2 linked regions of the Macaca fascicularis genome follow. The protein of the gene in region 1 interacts with the protein of each later gene in a biochemical or structural test. Links are inferred from orthologs where the notes say so. Each region holds a gene or a part of one and is shown in the gene's direction. Other genes may lie near its edges. The genes, in order: PIAS2 and SUMO3.

Region 1 (3,808 bases):
GTGTTTGGAGACGGCAGGGGTTGTGTTTATAGAATAAAGGAGACTTCAGAGACATAACTAAGTGTGGTGTGGGGCTCTAGTTTTTAATTCTGATTCAAGCCGTAAAAGGACTATACTAAACTACATATGGAGAAAATAGAAAATATATCTGAGATTTGCTTTAAAATAATCTGGAGTGGGGGTTGGGTAGAGTAGGTAAAGATTGTTCATGGGTAAGTAAATTACTGAACTGATAGATATATATGTGTTATACTTTTTTCTCTATTTTTGTATATGTTTAAAATTTTCAATAATAAAAGGATGAAAGGAAAATAAATTTTGAGGCACCTGGGAAATCTGAATCGAAAGACAAGGTATTAGGTGATTTTTTAAAACTGGTTATTTTTGTGGGGTTGTAATACTGTAGGTTTTTAAAGTCTTATTAGAGATCCATGTTGAATATCTGGGTTAAATGGCATGTCTAGAATTTGAGTTTAAATACTCAAGGGCAAAAAGAAATGTGTATTTTTGTGGCGTGTGTGTTTTAGGGCAGATTGGCTTTGGGGCCAAAAGCATTTGGAACAAGATTGGCAATGTGGATAATTATTGAACCTGGTTGGTGGGTCCCTGCTGTTTGTACCTTTCTTGTGTATGTTTGAAAATTTCCATAAAGTTAAAAAGTAAATCTGTGTTAGAAGTATTCAAGTAGTAGTGATAATTAGAAAATTTGGAGGAAAACGTTAAAGTAGAATAATTGTGGACAACTTTTGTCACAGTTGCAAGTAGGGTAGGGTGTCATCAGAGCATGAAACATAAAAAATTATTTGAGTGTGTCACAGGACCACCACAAAGTCTTCCGCTGGTGCCGTCCAGCAGCCTTTGCTTAGAAAGCTTGCAGATTTGCCCCACTGGTTCCCTGTCACATGAACTTGACTTTATTTTTGCTTTAAATATGGAAAACTGTTAGAAATATGTGTGAAGGCTAAACTTTATATTTTATAAAATTCCAACTATTAATATATTCTCAATAACCAGGAAATTGATGGTTGGGTAGGGGTGGTGCTGATGGTTAGAGGTAGAATACAGGTTATCAGATAACTCAGAATTACCAGTAAAGTCACACTACTCAAATGGGATATAGAATAGATTGAAAACGCTTTACACTGAGTGAGACTAACATGATTCTGAGTTTGCTGACACTTCATTCTTACATGAGTGTCACTCTCTCTGCTTCTGTTGCCCTTTTCTACTGTGTCAGGCTGTGTTATGTCTTAAATTCTAATTTCCAGAGTGCACATTTTAGTTCATGAGTTATTTTTATCCTCCTGACAGACCCTGTATCATTTTTATTTGGTTAACCTACTGGTGGACATACCAGCAGACAGAATTATCTTCCAGGCCCAAAACAGGCAAAACAAAAGTTTCGTTCAGAATTACCTAGATACTGGTGTTGATATTCCTTGTACTTGTTGCTCATTGAATCAACTTCTTGAGTCTTTTTAAGAGGACTTTTCTTAGGAGTTTTTTTTTTTTTTCTTTTTCTGAGCAACTTTTTTTTTTTTTTCGCTTGAGCAACTTAAGATGGGCATAACCTTCATACACACACACACTCTCTCGCACACACACACACTCACACACACTGTCTCTCTCTCTTTCATTTCTGTATTCTAGTGCAAGTTATTTAAGTTCTTCTCTTTGTCTTTTACTCCCCTGCTCAAACGTTTTTAATTACTTTCAAAATTTTTTGCAAGTTATAGATTACACATTATCATGTGGACTACCATTTAGTAATTACTGTCCTGCCCCTTATGAGACAGTTCCCAAGTTGTGGTAGACAGGGTGTGGTCCTCTTTGCCATGTGATACTACCAGTACTAGTTTTCATTGGTCCTAAGGTGCATATTTTAGCATTGCTGAAATCCAGAAGTGTCTTAAAATTGCTGGTGACCAGGTGTCAGCTGTGATGTATTATCATTGTCTGCACTTGTACAACTTTGGTGTTATTGCCATGGCGTGACTAGTTAGCTGTACTCCTGGCTTTTCAGTTAACAAATAATTTAAGGACATTTTGAGAAAGAAGCATGAATGCTGGCTGTTGTCTGAAAACTTTTCACTGATGGATTCTCATAAGATCCAGATTGTATCCCCATTAACACATCCAGTTAATGGTGTCAGTGACTTGCAGAGAAATCTGAGACATTAGTGGAATGAAATACAGTTTTAAAAGATACTTTTTTCTCTGAAATTCCTGCTTGTGCATAGGGGAGTGTTATGTGGAAAAATGTATGGATTAATGATGGAGTGAAAAGTGATTCAGAAGATTCTTATGTCCAAAAGGGAATATGTTAATTCATTTTGCTTCCATTTCTTTGCCATATATACATAGTATTTTCTTTCTCAATAGTACATAATTAAATTACATCAATGACATCCTAGCGTCAGTGAAATATGGTATCTACTTTTCAATATGTAGATTTTTTGCAGCTAAGATATTTTAATTTTCTAAAAAATACATTATTTTGGCTCTGAAAAATCAGAGTGAAGTCTTGTGGTAATTGGGAATTGGATACACTGCGAATCAGAAATGAGTATACTTGCTATTTAAAACAAATGGTTGATGACTAGATAAAAGTAGATTAAAGCATAAATAGCAGTATTATCTGATAGCCATCAAGCTCATTTAATGACAGTTGAAATGCTCATTATCCTTATTTGTTAACTTGACCTGGGTTAAAAGATTACCATTTCTGTTCCACCCAGAGAAAATGCAGTGGAAAATATTTTTATCACTCACCAAATTTTAAAAATGAAATTCGTTAGTTTGTTCTTTCTTTCCCCTCAATTCCCAGTTTGCTTTCTTTCTTTCCCACCCCGAATATATGCATGTATTTGAAATGGGGATTGCTAAGGATGAATCATTATAAAAAGTTGTGACTTTATCTGTAAAGCTTGGTGTCCTATGAAAAAGGAAAACGATTCATAGCCAATGTGGCAAGATGTCAGCATCTTTAATTTTAATGATGGGACATGGATTTTTTTCCTACCTTTCTGGACTTGTGAAATATTTTGTAACTTTTTTTCAAAGGTTGTTTTCCTGTTTTGGGTTGATAATGATAATAAGGACTATATGATTTTTAGGCTAAAATAAAAATAGTGTAACTGAAATTGGGCAGGATCCTGTATCTATCTTGGAGAAAATGTTTAATCTTCCTGCAGATAATTTGAAATAATTTTTCTTTCTTATGGTTATAGGGCTACGCACCACCGCCTAAAAATGGGATTGAACAGAAGCGCCCTGGACGCCCCTTGAATATTACATCTTTAGTTAGGTTATCTTCAGCTGTGCCAAACCAAATATCCATTTCTTGGGCATCAGAAATTGGGAAGGTAAAAGCTCTCCATTTTGGGTAGCAGGACAGTGACCCCACTGGGGGTTGACTTACTGTGTTTTTTCTTAAGCTGTTGGCTTCAGCTCTTTTTGTTTGTGGATTGTAATCTCTAAAAAGCAGTAATTTTCAGTTCAGAGGCGGCAGTATGGAGATTCTTAAAGTTAAAAACTTTAGCTCTGAGTTTTCTTGAATATCGTCTCTTTATTTTCCTGGAAAGAAAATATGCATATTTATATTTCTTAAGGTAATGGTTTAACCGCAATTGTATGTAATGTTGTGTTGAGTATTTTAATAAACTAGAAGCTTTGGATGATAAATATTTGTGAAGAGAACAAGGAAAGTTTTATCAGTTTGGGGGAGAAATGGTTAAATGTACACATGTTGTGATTAGAAATAATCTGTTCTAACCTTTATATAAACAACTGATATTTCAGATAATCT
Region 2 (4,505 bases), on another chromosome or scaffold:
TCATGATTTCTAAGCTGCGTGTTTCTCACTTCTACAACACTGAAGCGGGCTGCCCTCATCCACAGCCTGCAGTTTAGTGTGCCTGTGCAACCAACGGTCCTGCTGTTTTATGATTAACGGTGTCTTGGAGTTGATAACTCTCTGAACCCTGCCTGCCCTAGGGCACTTCCCCGCCAGCAATCTGAGGGCTCTGAGGCCCCGCGTTCCGGGGAAGGGGCTGGTTGCGGAGCCCCCTCCCAGGACAGTCTGAGCTGGCCACCCACCTCCACATCTTCTGCTGAGGCCCTGGGCTCCAGGTTCCGGAAGGAAGGGACCACACCATATGACCTGCCTGGAAGCCAGGCTGACTCTCTGACCCTCTCCCTGAGAGACTTCAGCAGCCTTCCCGCTCCTAAGTGGGGGCTCTAGCCAAGAAAGTGAATTTTTGAGTCGAAGACGATTTGTGAAGTTATGGTCCATGAAGACTTGTCTCCATGGCTTTGCGACGTTGCTCAGTTGGCTGGGCCTTACCCAGGCAGGAGAGAAACGGCTCAGACCCTTAGGTTCAAATCCAAGCCCTGCCATTTCCCAGCTGAGCCTGTTAGGTGCGGCCTCCCCCACCTTCTGCCGGGCTCAACTTCAGGTGAGACCCCCGCCACGCCCCGGCTGGCACCACCCTGGCACTCCTGACGGATGCAGGGGTGTCCGCCCTCATGTCTGTTCCATCCGAGGCCCTGGGATCACAGACAGGGAGGCCGAGGCTGGCCGGGCATCCCAGGAATGGCGCCCGCAAGTCCCAGGAGGCCGTCCGGCCGGCCCAGCGCTCCGGCGCGTTTCCCGCGTCCACGCGGTCCCCGTTCCGCCGGCACTGGCTGCGTCCAGCCTGGGTTTGCCCGCGCTCGGCGACGGGGCTGCCTGGCCCAGCTCGACGCCCCTCACCAGCGCTGACCTGGGGGTGGTGTCACCTCCCAGTGCCTCAGTTTCTTCACAGGAAAAACGGGTCTTCTTGAGGACGGGTGTGGAGGGCCCGGGGCAGCCCCGTAGGAGCGTTGGCCGAAGGAGCCCGGCCTGCGGCTGACAGGAACCCTCGGCTGCAGGGAAGCGCGTGGCGCCCCCAACCGTCTAGGTGCTGGCCGGATTCGCGCGGCCTCCGCTGACGGGACCCCGCGGGCCGCCTCCTCCGCTCTGTCCGCGGCTCCCGAGAGGGAACATCACCCCCAGAGGCTTCCCTCCTCCGCCCCAGGTCCCCGCGCCCCCGGCCTCACTTCCTGGCGCCCCAGGAACGCGGCCCCCAAGAAAGGACTCGGGGCCCGGGCCCGGGCGGGGAGGCGGGCAGGGGTCCCCAGGGCCCGGAGTCCCCGTACGCGCTCCTGGCCCGCCCACCACAGCGCCCCAGGGCGTCCGCACCCGCCAGGGTCGCGCGGGACCCGCCCCGTGACGCATCTCCAACAGCCCGGAGCCGCGGCCCGGCCAGCGCGCGCCCGACGCCCCGGGGAGCGCGCCTCGTGCACGCGCGCCGCCACGTGACCCCGTGCCGGCCAACGGGTGCGCCGGGATTTGGGGGATAAAGCGCGGCCCCGCGCACAGTTGCGGCGGGAGAGCGGCGGGGCCGAGAGCGTGACTCGCCTGCTCCGCGCTGCTTCCCCCGCGCCGCCTGCCCGCGCCGCCCGCGCAGCCATGTCCGAGGAGAAGCCCAAGGTAAGCGCGGCGCCCCCGCCCGCACACGCGGCCATCGCGGGCGTCCCGGGCGCCTCCGCCGCCGCGCGCCACTGTCGCGGCCATAGAAGACCGCAGCTTCCACGGGGACCCGCGCCCAGGCCTGCAGCGCCGCCCGCGCTCCCGCCCCTCCCCCGCTCCCGTCCGGCCGCGCCGCTCCCCTCCCCCGCCCGGCGGCGCTCGGCGGCGCGCCCCGCCTCCAGCCCGGCTCCGCCCCCAGTCCGACTCCACCCCCCAGTCTGACTCCGCCCCATCCCGACTCCGCCCCCAGCCCGACTCCGCCCCGTGCCCCTGCTCCGCCTCTCCTTGCCCCCTATAGCGCCCCGCCCCCCCGCCCCCTGTAGCGCCCTGCCCCTAAGTGGGTCCGCCCAAGACGGGCCCCTCCCCGAAGCGCGCTGTGCCGCGAGCTCCGTCCCCGCCGGGCCTGGCCACGCCCCAGCTCCACGCCCATCTCCTCCCTAGCTGGGAAGGCGCGCGCCTAGCGCCTCCCAGACCGCCGGGTGTCGGGCCCTGCGCTGCTCCTGCCGAGCGCAGCGCCCTCGGATCCCGCCCCGGCAGTGTCCCCGAGGCGTCTTTGCGTGATCCTCTCCTGAGTCATTGCTGGGCGGGGTCGCCTTCTCCCCCGGCATCGCCCTGGGTGCGGGGTCCTGTGTCAAGTGCACGGAGTCGGCTCAGGAATAAGCGTCTGGGGTTACCCCCGAGGGGCGCGCTCTGAGGGGCCTAGCCCCTGTGAGCAGCGCTGCCGTCCTTCCAGGGCGCCCATCGCGCCCCCGGTATTCACCCACTTCTCCACACCGCGTCCTGGCCGTCGCGTCCCCCAGTGTGCGCCCACCCCTCTCCTTCCTGTCTCCCCGGTCGTGACCCCAGTGTGCACCCACTGCCTCTCCATCGCGTCCCCCGGTGTGCGCCTACCCCTCCCCATCGCATATCCCGGTGTGCGCCTACCCCTCCCCATCGCGTCCCCGGGTATGCGCCTACCCCTCCCCATCGCGTACCCCGGTGTGCGCCCACCCCCCCCATCACGCCGCCCATGGTGTGTGCCCACTCATCCCCATCATGCCCCAAGGTGTGCGCCCTCGCCTCCCCATCAGTCTCCCGGTGTGCATCCACCCCTTCCCATCATGCCCCCCGGTGTGCGCCCACTCCTCCCCATCGCGTCCTTGGTGTGCGCCCACCCCTCCGTATTGCGTCGCCCTCCCCATCACACCCCCCGTGTGTGCCCACCCCTCCCCGTCGCGTCCCCCGGTGTGCGCCCACCCCTCTCCATCACACCTCCTATGGTGTGTGCCCACCTCTCCCCATCACGCCCCTTATGGTGTGTGCCCACCTCTCCCCATTGCGCCTCCCCTGCCATGCGCACCCACCCCTCCTTATCCAGCCTTGGGTGTGCTTTAGTTTCCCCCATTGCCACACTGGGGTGTGCATCCTTCCAGTCTCAGTCCTGGGGTATGCACCCTTCATTCAGGTGCACTGGCCACTCCTCCTTGGGAGGGTCCTTAGTCGCGGTCTCCAGTGTTCATAAAAAGAGAACCTTTCGGAAGCCCTTGGTGTGCACTCTTGGCCTCTATGTTACATCCTAGTGGAAGATGACTAGAGCTGAAGGCTCTGTAAGGATGCTGTCTCTGATACTGGCCTGGTCCTGGAGGTGACCACCCTCCCTTTACAGATGAGGGTGGAGGCTCAGTGCCAGACACTGGTGGAAACTGGGATGGAACCGTCCGGAACCATGGTTGCGGCCTCTGGAAGTCTGCACTCTGCTTGCTGTGGTCAGACTCCAAGGAAACCTCCCCTATCCAGATGGCATTTGGAGTGACCTTCGCTTTTTACATTTTGACTCCAGTGAAGTCAAAGTTCTCCCACTCAGGGGTTGTTTGAATATTTAAATACTTGTTAAAACTAGGCCAAATATAAATGTCCTTTCTTTATGTTTTCGTAGGTGGCTTCCTCTTAATGAAGAGTACATGTAATAAAATATGTATGATACTCATTTTCTCAGCAGTGTTTACACTTAGCTCTGCCATGTGGTCAACCTCAGGCTCCAATTCCGTTGAAAACACTTGTTGAATTCCAGAATGATTGAGTGGCTGCCACCTCACAGGCCCTGCTCCTGGTGGGTCCCCTCTGAGCCCATGTGGGAGCAGCTCTACCCTGTGGGGCTCTGAGGAAGGGGAAGAAGTGGACTCTGGGGCCCAGTGGTGCTGGAAAGAAGAGCTTTTGGGTCAGGCAGGAGAATGTTCTGACTTCCCTGGATAGCTGAGGCGGAGGATTGACTAGCAAACTGAGGCCCATGTTTTTAGGGCTTCATTTTTTAACTCACGAGTTCACTTGCTTATTAGGAATTTACCAGGGGTCTGGGACAGACCGACATTGCTGGTGTCTGTCTGTCTGGAGCAGAGGCACTGTGGCCGGCCCTGCCCTGCCCCAGCCTCTCCTGGGGCTGCAGCCATTACCCTGTGGGGACACGTGTGGGCCCTGCATCTGTGCCTTTGAACACACTCATATCTTCCTTCCCTAAAGAAGCCAGTGCATCCTCATGCTTGGGGAAGTGAAGGGGGCTCATGCAGGGGTCCTCACTTCCATCCCGCCTGGAACTGTTTGCATGCTCTTCCTTCCTAGGCCAGTTTTCCCTGCGCTGGAGGCCACATTTGGGATGGGGGGATGGGGGTGTGCCAGCTCACCACTCAGGCTGCTGCCAAGCCACCGGCGTCCCGGGAGTGGGCAAGGGTGTCTGACCCAAGACTGGAGTTGGGGAGTGAGTGCTGGCCCAGGACACGCACCTTCAGGTTCGCAGCTGGAGCCCCTCACTGCCA

Evidence for each region.
Region 2: the proteins of PIAS2 (region 1) and SUMO3 form a complex in vitro, tested with the Homo sapiens proteins (2 studies listed by BioGRID, with this or other methods). The link is inferred for Macaca fascicularis from reciprocal best matches to the Homo sapiens genes PIAS2 and SUMO3.

What each region holds. Positions count from the first base shown.
Region 1 is NC_088392.1:42,938,280-42,942,087, forward strand, and holds part of PIAS2 (E3 SUMO-protein ligase PIAS2), read left to right. Parts: intron 1-3,230; coding exon 3,231-3,365; intron 3,366-3,808. UniProt on the Homo sapiens protein: Functions as an E3-type small ubiquitin-like modifier (SUMO) ligase, stabilizing the interaction between UBE2I and the substrate, and as a SUMO-tethering factor.
Region 2 is NC_088377.1:2,241,069-2,245,573, forward strand, and holds the start of SUMO3 (small ubiquitin-related modifier 3), read left to right. Parts: upstream 1-1,573; 5' UTR 1,574-1,656; coding exon 1,657-1,677; intron 1,678-4,505. UniProt on the Homo sapiens protein: Ubiquitin-like protein which can be covalently attached to target lysines either as a monomer or as a lysine-linked polymer. Does not seem to be involved in protein degradation and may function as an antagonist of ubiquitin in the degradation process.